Linked DNA regions of Ovis aries. Each later gene encodes a partner of the first gene's protein in a complex. Links are inferred from orthologs where the notes say so. Each region holds a gene or a part of one and is shown in the gene's direction. Other genes may lie near its edges.

What was found.
Region 2: ITPR1 (region 1) and PRKG1 share a complex: the UniProt entries of both Homo sapiens proteins name them as parts of the cGMP kinase signaling complex. The link is inferred for Ovis aries from reciprocal best matches to the Homo sapiens genes ITPR1 and PRKG1.

What each region holds. Positions count from the first base shown.
Region 1 is NC_056072.1:21,855,699-21,864,101, reverse strand, and holds the start of ITPR1 (inositol 1,4,5-trisphosphate receptor type 1), read left to right. Parts: upstream 1-4,164; 5' UTR 4,165-4,426; intron 4,427-5,277; 5' UTR 5,278-5,353; intron 5,354-8,403. UniProt on the Homo sapiens protein: Inositol 1,4,5-trisphosphate-gated calcium channel that, upon inositol 1,4,5-trisphosphate binding, mediates calcium release from the endoplasmic reticulum (ER).
Region 2 is NC_056075.1:6,692,509-6,700,220, reverse strand, and holds part of PRKG1 (cGMP-dependent protein kinase 1), read left to right. Parts: intron 1-4,819; coding exon 4,820-4,942; intron 4,943-5,024; coding exon 5,025-5,087; intron 5,088-6,310; coding exon 6,311-6,377; intron 6,378-7,712. UniProt on the Homo sapiens protein: Serine/threonine protein kinase that acts as a key mediator of the nitric oxide (NO)/cGMP signaling pathway. GMP binding activates PRKG1, which phosphorylates serines and threonines on many cellular proteins.

The sequences.
Region 1 (8,403 bases):
GGAATTCCAAGAACTAATGCTAAAATTGTGAACATTTGTGTTGTGTTGGGGCAAATGTCTGTGGGTTCTGAGATTCTCAAAAGGGCTGTGAGTACATCCTTCCACCACAAAAATAAAGTAAGATGTTTTGATAAAACCCAAATGAACTTTTTGGCCAGTGCAATAGAATCTTTTACCTGGACGAAAATGGGGACTAATATTGCCCTATTAATCTGATGTTTGGTTTGGAGGTGAGTCTTCTTTCATCACAATCAACATTTTCTCATGCTTGTTGACAGTGTTGTCTTGGTACACTAGGGTGAGCTTGCAAAGCCACTCATGTCCAATGACGTGTGTGATCTGGTGAGGTTGGCAGAACAAAGACCATTGGCTTCACTCTATCAAAATCACTGTGACTGGCCACAGTTACATGGATATTAAGGGTGCAGCTAGGGGCCACACCCTTTGTTTTTTTCCCGATCTTTGCTTTCTCCAGCATATCTTGCTGTCTTAATCAGGGTAGCATTTGTGGGTGGGCTTCTAGGAAGATTAATTCAGTTGCAATTTTTAGCTAAATGCCACTGATGAGAACCTGTTTCTATTTGCAGGGTTTCCCTGGGGTAGCTGGTGTGCTAGTTTTGGATGTTCTTCAGATGTCTGCTCAGTCTGTTAAAGCGTCCTGACTGCAGAGCCCTTCTACTTCCCCGCATAGGGCATTTTCAAGGGCAGAGTCATAAATGGCAGCTTTCAGGGCTGGTCGTCATCTCAAATTGGATCTTGAGAATCAGACTCTCGGTGCTCTAGACCAGCACTGTCCAGTTGTGTATGATATAAGCCTTGTGCATAATTTTGAATATTGTAGTGATATAGTAAAAAAGTTTAAAAGGAAACAGATGACATTCATTTTTTATTCCAAATAATGCTTTAGTAAATGTATTAGTTTAAATAGAATTAAATATCTAACATAATTTTTTAAAAATGAAATATAATTTATATATTGTGTAACATTAAGGTATACAATGTGAGGTGACATTAGTTTTAATAGTTACTTTGTTTAACTCATATCCGAATATTATCATTTTACCATGTGATCAATATAAAAATATTGATGAGATATTTTAACTTTCCTGTCATAAGTGTTTGAAGTTTAGTGTGTATTCTACACTTTCTTCACATCTCAGTTACAAATAGCTACATCTTAAGTGCCCAAATGTTTTGTAGCTACTGTATTAGAGAGCACAGATCTAGAAAATTTTTCTAGGGAAAAATACAACTAAGACAAATAAGCCCCCTTACCTCTATAGATAATGGAGGGTGAGTTGGGCAGTGGCCCTTTTATTGTGATATCAATCACCAGTCATACACCATCGCAGAGAACTTCTGAGCATCATTGCAAATTTATTACAACTACCTTCTGGTGACCCAGTAGCTTCCAGAACTTGAGGTTAGTTGCATAATGTTGAAAAGGACTATTCATACATACAGGTAGAGGAAACAGTCTGTGACGCAAATGGGCTACAAGGTGTGTGCCCAGAAAATACGTTCATCTAGCTTGCCACATGCCTGCCACACCTCCTGTCAAAACACCTTTTTAGAATGAACTTTTTTTTTTTTTTTGGCATATGTAAAAAAATACACAGACAAAGGACTAAGGCTTTCTGAGTTAGGAATGGTAGGGAATACAACCATGAATAAAAGATGGCCCCTGCCTTTAATGAAACTTGTCTTCTCGATGAGAAGACAGTGGAGATAACAGTTAAAGGTCAGGCGTCCACAGTATGGTGAGGATGAATATTACCCAACTCCAGCCCTCAGACATGACCAAGTTTTCTTAAGAAAACCCACTTTAAAATCCCACTGTTTCTCTGAGTTAGAAGCACAGGAAATAATCACCTTTAATGTTTACCAGTTATGTTAGCATAGAATGATTTGTTGAATTTAAAACATAGAGCCACAAACCATTTAGAAATGGAACAGATTGTTTTCATGAAGGAAAAGAAGAAAGGGGACAGATATGTAAGGTGTGGATTCATTTTTTGTGACAGGTCAGGGGAGCATCTTGCTGATGGGACTGGTAGCTTGAGGCTTTAGGCACAAGGCTGTGGTGTCCAACAACCAGAGGATGATGTTGAAAAAGAGGAGACAAGAGTGAAAGTGATAACCATTCTTGCTGATTAAATGCTTATATGAGCAGACAAATACAATGTATATGTTTACATTGGGGAAGCTGTGGATGGCAGTGGTTAAGAACTAAGGATTGGGAGACTTCCCTGGTGGTCCAGTGGTTAAGAATCCCAAGGGACATAGGTTCGACCCCTGGTTGGGAAACTAAGATCCCACATGCTGCAACTAAAACCTAAGGCAGCCAAGAAAAAAAAAAAAAAGAAGAACCAAGGTTTGGGAGTCAAGACAGCCTACCCCGCTGTGTGACTTTGGGAGTTATTTAACTTCTCTATGCCTCAACTTTCTCATAAGTTAAAAAAAAAAGTTCATTAATAGGACTTGATGAGAGAATGTACATGAAGAGTTTAGAATAATGCCTGGCACATGGCATGAATCCAATAATTATTATCTAAATTATTATTAGCCAATAATTATTATTACTTTGGGCATTATTATGTCAGTAATAATTATTAGCTATGGTGCTTCCCTAATTTGTTGCTGAAGTCCGCAAGACTGTGGACTCTGTATCAAGCAATCCTGACAAAAGATTGGCAAATTCTAATGATTTTTCTCCCTCTCCGATGGCAAAACTAGGGCAAAGAGATAAAAAATGACTTGCCCAAGGGCTCAGAGGCTGCTCCCAAAATGGGGAGGGAGGCCATTTAAAGTAGTGCTGACGGATTTCCCCGGAGACAAGGACTTAGTATACTTATAGGCTGGAATTGGAATCCGGGCTGCACTACTTAACTGATGGTGTCATCTTGAGAATTCATCTGATTTCTTTGAGCTCTCAGTTGTGCCTCTGTCAAATAGGGACAATAAATAAGTCAAGGGTTGTTAAAACTCATGAAAAGCGCATGTGGGCTGGGCTCAAAAGAGTCAAACTCCTCAATTATTATTATTGCTGTTGCTGTTGTAGCAGATCTTTTGCGGCGGTAGGCAGTGCCTATCCGGAACACAGTGGAACACTCAACACCATGCCCCAGTGCCTGGCACCCAGTACACTCTCAGGAAACGTCGGGAGAATGAACGCACATCTGAGGCTCGACTTGCCCACCTTCCCAAAGCGGGAGCCTGAGCAGATAGCCCGGGATGTCCAGGTATCACTTAGCAGTGAGCTGAATCCACTTTATGTCCCGGAAGCCCCTGTAGGACCTGCTGGAGGGCGCCCCGCCTGGACGCGCATCTTCTTGTGAGCGGCTCGCTCCAAAGCCCTTATTTTTCTGGTTTGCGGTTTATTTACTTAAGCATTTGCAACTCCCGGGAGGAGAGGGGCTGCTTGTAGCAGGGTCAGCACCGAGGTCGTGATTCGTATTTATTTTCTGCCTCTCAATCTCAGCACCGGCAAGTCACAACCAGGCTCCTTTACATGTGCACGGAGACGCTTGCGTTTCTTTACCTCCTGAGGGGCAAGGAAAGACAAGCGCAGTTCGGGTTCAGGAAAGTGCTCTCAAGCCTCTTGCCTGTGTTCCCACTTGCGTTGCTCCCAGACTTAGATTTCTGTGCAAACCCGAAGAAAGCGGAACAGCTTAAATAAAGACAACCTCACGCCTTTAATCCTTGACCGCAAACACTGGAGTTTTTGTGCCCTGGATTTCTGAAATTCTTGGCTGGGTACTCAAAGCGGGGGAAGGGTGGGTAACAGCTTGTAAAAACTTCCCAAAGCAGAAATCCGAGCTCTTCCCCGCCCCCTGCTCCCAATGACACCTGGATTCTAGAGAAATGGGGCAGCCGACGGAGGAGCGTCCCCAAGGGCTGGGGGCGCCCCCCACGGGTGGTTTTGAGTCGCGGGTTCCTAAGCCAACGGGTTCTCGGCGCAGAGCCGGGTTTGAAGCCCGGACTCCCCGCAGGACGCCCCTCCCTGTCCCCGTGCGCGTCTATTTAGAGCCCAGCCTGGGAACCCATGGGATTCTGGGACTTGTAGTTCACCCTCGCAGCCCCAGGCGCTGCCACGACCCCGGACTCGGACTACATTGCCCAGGGAGCGTCCCGGCCTATATAAGCTGCCAGGAGCTGCTTCGAAGTGCAGTAACCATGTGGATGTGCTGCTGAAGCGTTTCCTCTAGCTCGCTGGGGTGGGAGGAGAGAAGGAGGAGGTGGTGGTGGTGGAGGAGGAGGCAGAGGGTGGAGAGAGAGAAATCGCACGCCGAGAGGAGGTGTGGGTGTTCCGCTTCCATCCTAACGGAACGAGCTCCCTCTTCGCGGACATGGGATTACCCAGCGGCTGCTAACCCCCTCTCCTCGCCCTGCTCCGCCAAAGTGGCGTGGCTCCCCGGGCACTAAGGTAGCGGCTGGGGGCCGGGTAGAGGGCGCGGGGAGTTGGTACTGTCCCCAGGAGCAGAAGTTTTTGCCTCGCTCTCTTCTCGTTCTTGGTGGATTTTCATGCACTTGCATGCATTCTGGGGGTTCTTTTCCTGAGGGCATTTTGGGGGTGTTCATTTAAGGTTAAAAAAAATTCTCGATTCCATCGACTGGCTTTGAGGCTACTCATTCTGGGTTGTAAAGGCATTCCCCCAAGTTGGAAACTAGCAGCAGCTGCAGAAAATAGTGGGTTTTGGTGGCGAGGGGGCAGGGAGGGAGGTCGTGGAGATGTCCTATGTGAGTAGGCTAAAGGAAACAATCTTTCTTAAAATGCAGCCTTCCGTTGTGCTGCAAGGGAGAGGAATGCATATGTGGGGGCCCCAGTGGGGAGGTTTTAGAAAAACGGAAGAGAACCCGGGGAGCGGTGACGGATGAAGTGTGGACGGAGCTCACGCCTGATGGGGATGCGGGCTTTGGATACTTGGCCTCCGCTCCTGGAAACAAGTGCTTTGGGATCAGCCAAACACTTCTCTTAGTTTCAGCCCCACGGCGCGTTCGAAGTTTGTGCGTACTTAGTCTCACTTGTCAGTTGTATATTGGAAACAGATGAAATGACCAGTAATCTTTACCTAAGTGAACCCACCAACCTACCTGTCAAATCTGGTGGTGGTGGCGGTCCTGCGTGTGTATGTGTGTGTTTTGGGGGAGGGAGGAGGGTTGTCTCTCCAGGAAGGAGGTTAACTGAAAGTGGAAATGTAGAATTTGAAAATTTCTATTAGGGACCCACTTCTGTCCAATCTCGCATTCAGCTTTCTTTCTTTCTCAATTACTTAGGAGCTGACCACCAGGGAGCAGAACTCACACCCCTGGCTGGGCGTGTTTTGGCAACAGAGTGCCTGACCTGGGTCAGGTGAGTGCGGAAGCCTGAAAGCTGTAGTTAATAATGAGTTTTGGTCCTAAGCCTATTTTAAGTTCTCGCTAAGGAGTCATGGAGATGGGGAGTAGGAAGAGACAGGAAACTCCATGGCAAATTCTCTGAAATTTGTCACTGCCTGTGGTAAGGGCTTTAGGGAATGTATGAGATCCAGGGGGCAGTCCTGTCTAGTACTTTTGGCCCTGACTCAGAAGTGAAGCAGCCTGAAGGTTTACGGGAGCAGGGGGAAAAAAGAAAGAGATGGAGCAGTAAAAGGGATGCCCACTGGTGATCTGAGAATTGAACTTGCCAGGAGGTGTGCTGATGATTTAAATTTTGAAAGATGCAGTGCATTTCATCTGCCAAGATACATAAGCAAAATTTATCTGCTTCCCTCTTTCAAAAATAGTCACTTTCCTTTTTTTTCCCCCTTATACTGTGAATATGTGTTTAATCAGAGTAGGTTGTGTGGCAAGAGATTCAAGTGGGTTGCTGGCAAATTGAACTTGAAAAAGGGAAGTTCTTGAAGCTTAAGAAAGTAACATCCAATCCTTGATGCCACCTGAGCATCAAGGAATCTGGTGGATTCCTCTGGTTTAGGTGCCTGTCATGGGATATGAGCTGAGAGCATCATTTATCTGTAAACGCAAGCAGCTCTTATGTTTTCTCCTGCAAATGTTCAGACTGCACTTCAAGAGAGGGAGGTTTTACCAGGTGCACAAATGCCCATTGCTGCAGATTTGAGCATCACAAGCTTTTTCTTCTGAAATGGTTAGGGATAGGATAAACAACAGGGTAATACAGGTGGGTGGGGCCTGGGTCTTCATAACTTATTTAACATTCTAAATATTTAGCTGTTCCCTGGGCTACAATCTTTGGGCTTTTCTAATTAGAAAAGAAGTCAGACACTTCATTATAGTAGTATTGTGCTTTTGTTTCCTGTTGATAAGATCCTCCGGAGTGCTGGTGGAGTGGGAAGTATTTGGATGTGTGAGGTCCACTTCCTTTTTGGAGTTCTCTTGACTCCCATAGCTACGTGGGCATTCATAAGGCCAAGGATTGGGTTCAGTTCCCCTCTTCAGAGGAAGCTGCAGGCAAGGAGAAAGTGGTCCACAAAATCTTCTCTGACTGGTTGCTAAAAATGAGAATAATAGACATGAAGTACTTGTAAGCCAGGTCCATAGCTATACATCACAGGAACCCTGTGAGTCAGGTACGGGCGAAGAAGCTGAGGTGCAGAGTGAGATCACTTGTCCAGTGGATGCAAGCTGTAACCCCAGGCTTTGGGATTTTGCTATTTCCCACAAATGCGTCTCAGTGGAGGGGGAATATGAGGGTAACTAGGAAAAATGGTACATGTATTGCTGTTGAAGAAATAACTCTTCATTGTGTCCTACCAATGATAAAGGAACAAAGTGACCTTGATATAGGAAAAAAACAATGTAGCCGTAGAAAGACTCTTGGTTTTTGAGGAGGTCTTAGGTATTGTACTGAGTTCATTGTAGAAAACTGTCTGCTGAAAGCCTACATGAGGAGAGTAAAAGAATCCAAACTACAAGTAACACTGTCTGGATTCAACACTGGGTTTATTTCACACCTGAAATGCATCTTGATCAGCTACATCAAGGCATCTGAGTAGGTTACAAGAATCAGGTGTTGCTCTATTGGAATAATTTGTAAGTTTAAATTGCAGTGAATCTGAACTGTGAAATGTTGACTGTCTTTTCATATATTCTTAGTTTGCTTTGTGGCCAACTGTGCAAGATCACTTTTCTTTTTCGTTTCTTACTTTCACTTGCGTGTATGTATGTGTTGAAAGTATAATCTGCTTTTTGAATAATTCAAATTGAAACAATATCCTACCAAGATTTCCTTCTTATCAGGCAGGCAAAGTTCTTCATGCTCGAAATGAATTGCTCCTGGTCTCCCGTTTGAGACTCATGGAAGTTCTTTGGGGTTGACAATGGTGTTACCTATTTAAACAAAGTGGTTGCCTTCTGGAGAGAATAAGCATCTTTAGGAAGAAGACGTGGAAACTTTGCTTAGAGAAGAGATAGGTGAACTGAAATCAGATCCATTGCTTTATATATCAAAGTATTTTCAACTGAGGAAGACCATGGTCTTAAAGAGAGAAAGAAACTTCTAATACAATGGTGTGCAACCAACCGACTTGCACAGCAAAAAAATCAAATGGCTTTTTAGTTCATTTGTAATGATTGAATGGAAAATCTGATTTATTTATGAGCAACTCTTAAACCAAAGTGAAACAACAGACACCAAATTTGAACAACAGAAAAAACTCAAAATATTAAAATTAGGCCTGTAGTTAAGTTTTCAGGTCAAGCTGTACTTGCATACATCTGATTAAAAGCCTGCCCAAGGCCAGTGTCGGTTTTCTTTGCTGTTGGTTTGATCTTTTAAAATAAAACACATTGCTTTCACAGGCTGTTTATTAATTGTAAGTATTAATACATAGTTTTTTTTTTAGTTCACTTAGCCTGTTTTAATTTTTTCCTGACTCTTTTGATGAAATCAACTAAGGCTTGAAGTCAGTGACGTGAATGACAATTTCCTTGATTCCTACCAGTTGTCATAGTGTTTGTGGTTCTGAGGCTATTGCTAATGAGGATGAGTTGGAACCACCATCCACTGAACTATTCCTTGTAATGAACTTTGTCTGGATTCTTCCCTAAACTGGACATAGTTTAAGGCACTTGGTGTGATAAATCTATCCTAGCAATTCTAATGCTGACTAAAATTATGGTTAAACTATTTTATTCCTTCATTCAAATCTTTGGAGTACCTGCTATGTGCCAGGGTGTGTTCCAGATGCTGAGGTTACAGCAGTAGAAGTCCTATACCTTTTATTTTTTAAATTTTGGCTGCTTTGGGTCTTGTTGTGATAAACGAACTTTCTCTAGTTGCAGCATGTAGGCCAAGTTGTAAGTGCAATCTTAGTTCCCTGCCAAAGGATCGAACCCTCATATCCTCTGGAAGGAGAGGCAAATTCTTAATCACTGGACCACCAGGAAAGTCCTCAAGCGCCC
Region 2 (7,712 bases), on another chromosome or scaffold:
TGCATTCTTTACCAGCTGAGCCACAAGGGAAGCCCTGTCTTTCTAAGATAAATACAAAAGCAAAAACATAAGTTAGAAAAAACATGAAGCTGTTAACAATAAATCCAAGATGTGGTGGTGCTTCATTTTATAGTGAAAATAAAAACTGGCAGGTTACTTTGACAGCAAAGAGAATATTCAACCAAACATTATATAAGGAGAAAATCCTTATATTCTAGGAGAATACTAAATAGAACTGAATATTAATAGGTTATAAAAAGTTGTTTAAACTGAGAGGTAACAGTTAATTACAAAGTAAACAGAAAATACTTATTACACAAAAATAAGCTCAAATGGATTACAGACCTAAATGTGAGACTGGACACTATAAAACTCCTAGAGGAAAACATCAAGTCCAAAACACTCTCTGACATAGATTGAAACAGTATCTTTTTTGATCCATCTCCTAGAATAATGGGAATAAAGCCAGACACAGACATATGGGACCTACTTAAACTGGAAAGCTAAGGAAACAAAATGAAAAGACAACCCACAGATTGGGAGAAGTTCTTTGCAAATGATGTGCCCAACAAGGGATTTAGTATTCAGAATTTACAAACAGCTCATGAAGCTTAACCTCATCAAAACAAACAACCCAATCAAAAAATGGGCAGAAGACCTAAATAGACATTTCTTAAAAGAAGACATACAGATGGCCAAAAATCACATGAAATCAGTATCACTATTCAGTTTGGTTCAGTTCAGTTGCTCAGTTGTGTCCGACTCTTTGCGACCCCATAAGTTGCAGCACGCCAAGCCTCCCTGTCCATCACCAACTCCCAGAGTTCACTCAAACTCACGTCCACCGAGTCGGTGATGCCATCCAGCCATCTCATCCTCTGTCGTCCCCTTCTCCTCCTGCCCCCAATCCCTCCCAGCATCAGAGTCTTTTCCAATGAGTCAACTCTTTGCATGAGATGGCCAAAGTACTGGAGTTTCAGCTTCAGCATCATTCCTTCCAAAGAAATCCCAGCACTGATCTCCTTTAGAATGGACTGGTTGGACCTCCTTGCAGTCCAAAGGACTCTCAAGAGTCTTCTCCAACACCACAGTTAAGAAGCATCAATTCTTCGGCGCTCAGCTTTCTTCATAGTCCAACTCTCACATCCATACATGACCACTGGAAAAACCATAGCCTTGACTACACAGACCTTTGTTGGCAAAGTAATGTCTCTGCTTTTGAATATGCTATCTAGGTTGGTCATAACTTTTCTTCCAAGGAGTAAGCGTCTTTTAATTTCATGGCTGCAGTCACCATCTGCAGTGATTTTGGAGCCCCAAAAAAATAAAGTCTAACACTGTTTCCCCATCTATTTGCCATGTCATGATCTTAGTTTTCTGAATGTTGAGCTTTAAGCCAACTTTTTCACTCCTCTTTCACTTTCATCAAGAGGCTTTTCAGTTCCTCTTCGCTTTCTGCCATAAGGGTGGTGTCATCTGCATATCTGAGGTTACTGACATTTCTCCCGGCAGTCTTGATTCCAGCTTGTGCTTCTTCCAGCCCAGCGTTTCTCCTGATGTACTCTGCATATAAGTTAAATAAGCAGGGTGACAATATACAGCCTTGACATACTCCTTTTCCTATTTGGAACCAGTCTGTTCCACGTCCAGTTCTGTTGTTTCCTGACCTTTATATAGGTTTCTCAAGAGGCAGGTCAGGTGGTCTAGTATTCCCATCTCCTTCAGAATTTGCCACAGTGTATTATGATCTACACAGTCAAAGGCTTTGGCATAGTCAATAAAGCAGAAATAGATGTTTTTCTGGAACTCTCTTGTTTTTCCATGATCCAGCAGATGCTGGCAATTGGATCTCCGGTTTCTCTGCCTTTTCTAAAACCAGCTTGAACATCAGGAAGTTCACGGTTCACGTATTGCTGAAGCCTGGCTTGGAGAATTTTGACCATTACTTTACTAGCATGTGAGATGAGTGCAATTGTGCAGTAGTTTGAGCATTCTTTGGCATTGCCTTTCTTTGGAATTGGAATGAAAACTGACCTTTTCCAGTCCTGTGGCCACTGCTGAATTTTCCAAATGTGCTGGCATATTGAGTGCAGCACTTTCACAGCATCATCTTTCAGGATTTGAAATAGCTCCACTGGAATTCCATCACCTCCACTAGCTTCGTTTGTAGTGATGCTTTCTAAGGCCCACTTGACTTCACATTCCAGGATGTCTGGCCCTAGGTGAGTGATCACACCATCATGATTATCTTGGTCGTGAAGATCTTTTTTGTACAGTTCTGTGTATTCTTGCCACCTCTTCTTAGTATCTTTTGCTTCTGTTAGGTCCATACCATTTCTGTCTTTTATCATGCCCATCTTTGCATGAAATGTTCCCTTGGTATCTCTAATTTTCTAATATCACTATTAGAGAAATCCAAATCCAAACTACAATGAGTATCACCGCACGCCAGTCAAAATGGATATCATCAAAAAATCCACAAGTAAATGCTGGAGAGGATGTAGAAGGAAAGGAATTCTCCTACACTACTGGTAGGAATTAAATTGGCACAGTTGCTATGAAAAACAGTATGGATGTTTCTTAAAAAACTAAAAATAGAGCTACCTTGTGACCCTGCAGTCTCATTCCTGGACCTATATCCGGATAAAACCATGGTGAGAAAGGATACATGCACCCCCGTGTTCATTGCAGCACTGCTTACAATAGCCAGGACATGGAAGCAACCTAAATGGCCATCAGCAGATGAGTGGATAAAGCAGCGGCTGCGGTGAATATATGCAATGGAATATTACTCAGCCATAAAAAGAATGAAGTAATGGCACATGGATGGACTTAGAGACTTTCATACTGAGTGAAGTCAGAGAAGGAGAAATCTCATGACATCCCATGTGTGTGGAATAAAGAAAGAAAATATACAAATGAACTTATTTACAAAACAAAAACAGACTCACAGATTTACTGAACAAACTTATGGTTGCCAGGGGAAAGGCCTGGGGGAAAGCGATGATTAGGCAGTTTTCAACTAATATGTGCACACTACTACATTTAAAATGGTTAACCAACAAGGTCCTACTGTATAGCACAGGGAATTCTGCTCAATGTTATGTGGCAGTCTGGATGGGAGGGGATTTGGGGGGAGAATGGATACATGTGGCTGAACCCCAATGCTGTCCACCTGCAACTGTCACAGTCTTGTCAGTCTGCTATCAGTTCAGTTCCGTTCAGTTGCTCAGTCATGTCTGACTCTGCGACCCCACGAACCACAGCACGCCAGGCCTCCCTGTCCATCACCAACTCCCGGAGTTCACTCAAAGTCATGTCCGTCGAGTCGGTGATGCCATCCAGCCATCTCATCCTCTGTCATCCCCTTCTCCTCCTGCCCCCAATCCCTCCCAGCATCAGAGTCTTTTCCAATGAGTCAACTCTTCGCATCAGGTGGCCAAAGTACTGGAGTTTCAGCTTTAGCATCATTCCTTCCAAAGAACTCCAATATAAAATATTTTTTTAAAGTACTTGCTACAGAAAATAGGGACACAAAACTTAAGGCAGATACTATCCAACCCTTTTTAAGTAATTCATTGTTTTCAGCTTTCTCAGTAGAAGGAAATAATTTGAACTGCTGTTAATAAATATGACAGACAGAAAATAATCCATAAAATGTCTTCCCCCAAAAAATATGAATAAACACTGTATTAGAGTAATTTCCAAGGAAATCAGCTATCAAGTCACATCATCATTATTTCTGAACTTGGGGAATGTGGTGGAAGGAGTTGACTTTAGTCACTTCTGTATTCCCTGAGCCAGGCACAAAGCCACAGGCCCAGGATGGCTAGGTAAATAAACCCAAAGATTTGGTTACGAGGGATTGGCCACTACATCCTTTCTAACAAAGAGGAGGTCTTAGGTTAGGTTATCTCTGAAGGCTGATAAAGAAGGAGAAAAGCATAGGAGGAGCACTATTCTGTAGGAGCATTAGTTCAACAAATATTTACTGACAACTTACTCTGTGCTATGCATTCCCCCAGACTCTGGGAATACCAGCGTGGAACTGGAAGAGAAGATGGGTATAAAACAAATACAAAATGAAGTAGTTACAAAGCACAATAAGTGGCAAAAAAAGAGTTCTATAAGAGAGTATGATAGGTGAATCTAACTTTAAGTTCTGGTATTAGACCATTACATTATGTTAGTTGATAATGGTTCTGTGATTGGCTGTATTAGGTTGATCACAGTAGGCCTTTCTGAGTAAGCAACATAACACTTAAGCTAAGACTTCATAAGTGAGGCATTAACCAGGAGGCCTGGGAAGAAACTTCCAGGCAAAATGAACAGTGCCCTGAGGTGGGAGAATATTTGGTCCTTCAGAGGAGCAGAGAGAAGACTGGTACGCCTGGATCCCAGTGAGTGAGGGTAGAGCTGGCATAAGATGGGGTCATATCAGTGATGCTCCTGTCGCCCATTCTAATGATGTTGGACTTCAAGTGTAGTCAGTGAGCTTGCAAATGTGAGAAAGGGCCAAAAAGTAGAAGAGGCTTTCTGAATGACTAAGAACAGCAAGCGGGGTTAGTCACCAGCACTAAAACAGAAATGAGGGGAACAGTGGACAAACCCGACCCATTTAAGGGTTTTGCTAAATGATTTGCTCAGCAAGGTTTCTACACCGTTTTGCTATGAATCAAGTTTCGTTCCACTACCCCTGTTACTATATGTCTCCAAATAAGAACTGATGTCATTTGTGGAGTTGTTGTTATAACACTGTAACTTTTCTTGTTTAGAAAACTAAATACTATCTCTCTCTTCATATCTGTCATTCTTGCAGCCCACCTTTCTCAGGCCCAGATCCTATGAAAACCTATAACATCATATTGAGGGGGATTGACATGATAGAATTTCCAAAGAAGATTGCCAAAAATGCTGCTAATTTAATTAAAAAACTGTGCAGGTGAGCATTTCGACCGCATTGTTTTTCCCATTATGATCCTTTAAAAAAATAGATTTTTTAACAATTATTATTTTATTTTCAGGGATAATCCATCAGAAAGATTAGGGAATTTGAAAAACGGAGTGAAAGACATTCAAAAGCACAAGTAAGTGTTCTTATAACTTATGGTTTAAGCGTTCAGAGAATATTTCCCAAGGCTGATGATTTTAAGTTAGTGGTTATATAACTGATGCAACTAGTCCATAGGAGCATCCGATGAGACAGGCAAACTAGTTAGCCTTGTTATTTAAGATCTTTCTAGTTTTGTCTCAAGGACTTTATTTAGACGCATCTGATCCTGTGACCTTCTGAACAACAGAATCACTGAATTTAGTTTTTCCCAGCTCCTACTAATTAGGACTTTTCCTCTCCAGCATGAAGAAGAAATACATATTTTTAATTCTGAAATTCTATTCTCTACCAGAATATTAAAAACAAAAGTATGCCACCATATATCATGCCTCATTTCCTTAACTAAAACATATGTTTTCAACCATTTCCTAATTGGATGCTCTGACAGTAGGAAAAAAAGTACAGAGTACAGTCATTTTTTAAAACAATGTAGCATCTTAAACAGTAAACCTTACCCATGTTGATTGAATGTTCTAAAGCTAAACCAAGATCATATTGGTCTTTCCCTATTGGTTTCTGTAACATGCAGAGGAAATTCATATCCTTACCAAAGGAATGTGTTTCCCACAATACCTATGAATGTCTAAAAAGCCTGCGGGAATTTCATGTAATTATTTGCTAATGATGAAATCTTTCAAAGACAACAACAACAACAAAGACCTTTGTGATATTTGGTCCCCATTTTCACAAAAAGCCATACTCAAAGTACCTTCATTGAACCAAAAAAAGAAAGAAAGAAAATGAGATACAGATACATAGAGACCAAGACAGTGATGTGAAAAGGTTAATTAACTGAGGCTGCCCAGTAACAAAGATGGAAGGATAATTTTCCCTCCTGACATTTCATTCCCTGATTCTGCCTCCTTAAAATAACAACCTGTAGGGTACAGGGCCAAGCATATTATGGCATTTATTAAGTTATAATGATCATTTTGGAACAAGGTCATGACTGAAATAACTAGAATAAAAAGCAATTGCTATTGGTCTTTAAAATTTTGACAATTAGATTTTTTTTAAAAAATGCATTCCACTTAAGAAGCTAACATTTAAAATCTGCAATTAAATAGAAAACATTATTCTTATAATGAAAATGTTTGCTTACCTGTTTTCCATCAGTCATGGACATCATATAAGTTGTTTTGAGAAGGCTTTAACTGAGGTAAAATGCCTTTAACTATCTATTTTTTCCTCTTTTAGATGGTTTGAGGGCTTTAACTGGGAAGGCTTAAGAAAAGGCACCTTGACACCTCCTATAATACCAAGTGTAAGTAAACTTTCCAGCTTGTAATTGTGTGATACACATCTGCTATTTCAAACTTTTTATCCTATGATCAGCTTAAAACATAGGAGAAATAGCAGATTAACAAAATGACACCTTCTAAAATTCAAACTTATAATGTGTTAAATATACAAGTGTTGACAGAAGAGTATAATGAATCTCTTTTTCCACATACTATAAGAACTTTATACATCTTTGCCCAAGAATATATTTACAACCTTAGTTAGTCATATTCATAAATTATTTTAAATTTCTGCACATTCATGTAATTGTCTATATAAGATGCAAAAGCTCTGTAGTGTGTACTTGAGTATACTTAGATGAGTTAGGAATCTGTTATTCTTACCTTCTGGTTATGACTCCACCATGCTCTGTCTCCAAGAGTCCAATCCAAATGGGCCACATCACAACATTCCCTGCCCTGTGGTTTTTTGTTGAGTTTAGACAACAGTTCAGCTACCAGTTTCAACCGTTTTCAATTCCTGGCCAATATCGTTTCATTTATGCTCCACATACTTCCTCCTCCTCTGCCCCCATAGTTCTTTAAAGTGTTCCTAAGCACAGTTCTTTTCTTTTATTGTTTGATCAGGCTCTAAAAGAAAGACATTCCCTTCTAATATAGCAGGTGTTTTGTTAAACTACTAGTCCACAAAGTGAACCAAGTGTTTACACTGTGTTAACCCGAAATAGATTTCAATTGACTGCATTTATATTTTTATTCAATACAGCATCTATCTAATAAAATCTGTTCGGTCTTAACTAATGAGGAGAGGGCTGTTTTGCACTCCTGAGCTCTTCATTTATATACATCCTTTCTTCTGGGACTAATTTAAGATCACTCCTTATACAGAAACAATTGCTGTACTTATTATTTTAATTTGTATGCTTATATTTATGTTTATTCACAAACAAAGTAAAGTACAGATGTTAACTGCATTCATGAAGTTTTCTTTTTAGAACAAAGGCAGAATAAGAAACTTTAAGAGGAAAATAAAAGCCTAAAATATCCTAACTTATACTCACCAGGGGTCTCCTTTTATGCGACAGTAGTATTAAATTAAATGGAAGAATATATATATATATATATATATATATATATATAATGTATGTAAATATATAGAATAGAATATGAAGTCCTAAATATTATAGAATATGAGAGAAACTAAAGTCTGCTTCTTCAGCACCTTTATTTATGCTCTGCATATTGAACTGCCAGTCAACTTGTAAGAGTTTACAGAGATGTTTTCTAATTATTTCTTTTAATCACACAACTTATTCTTCCCTAGAGTGTAAACTCTAGAAGGGCAAAGCTATGCCTAT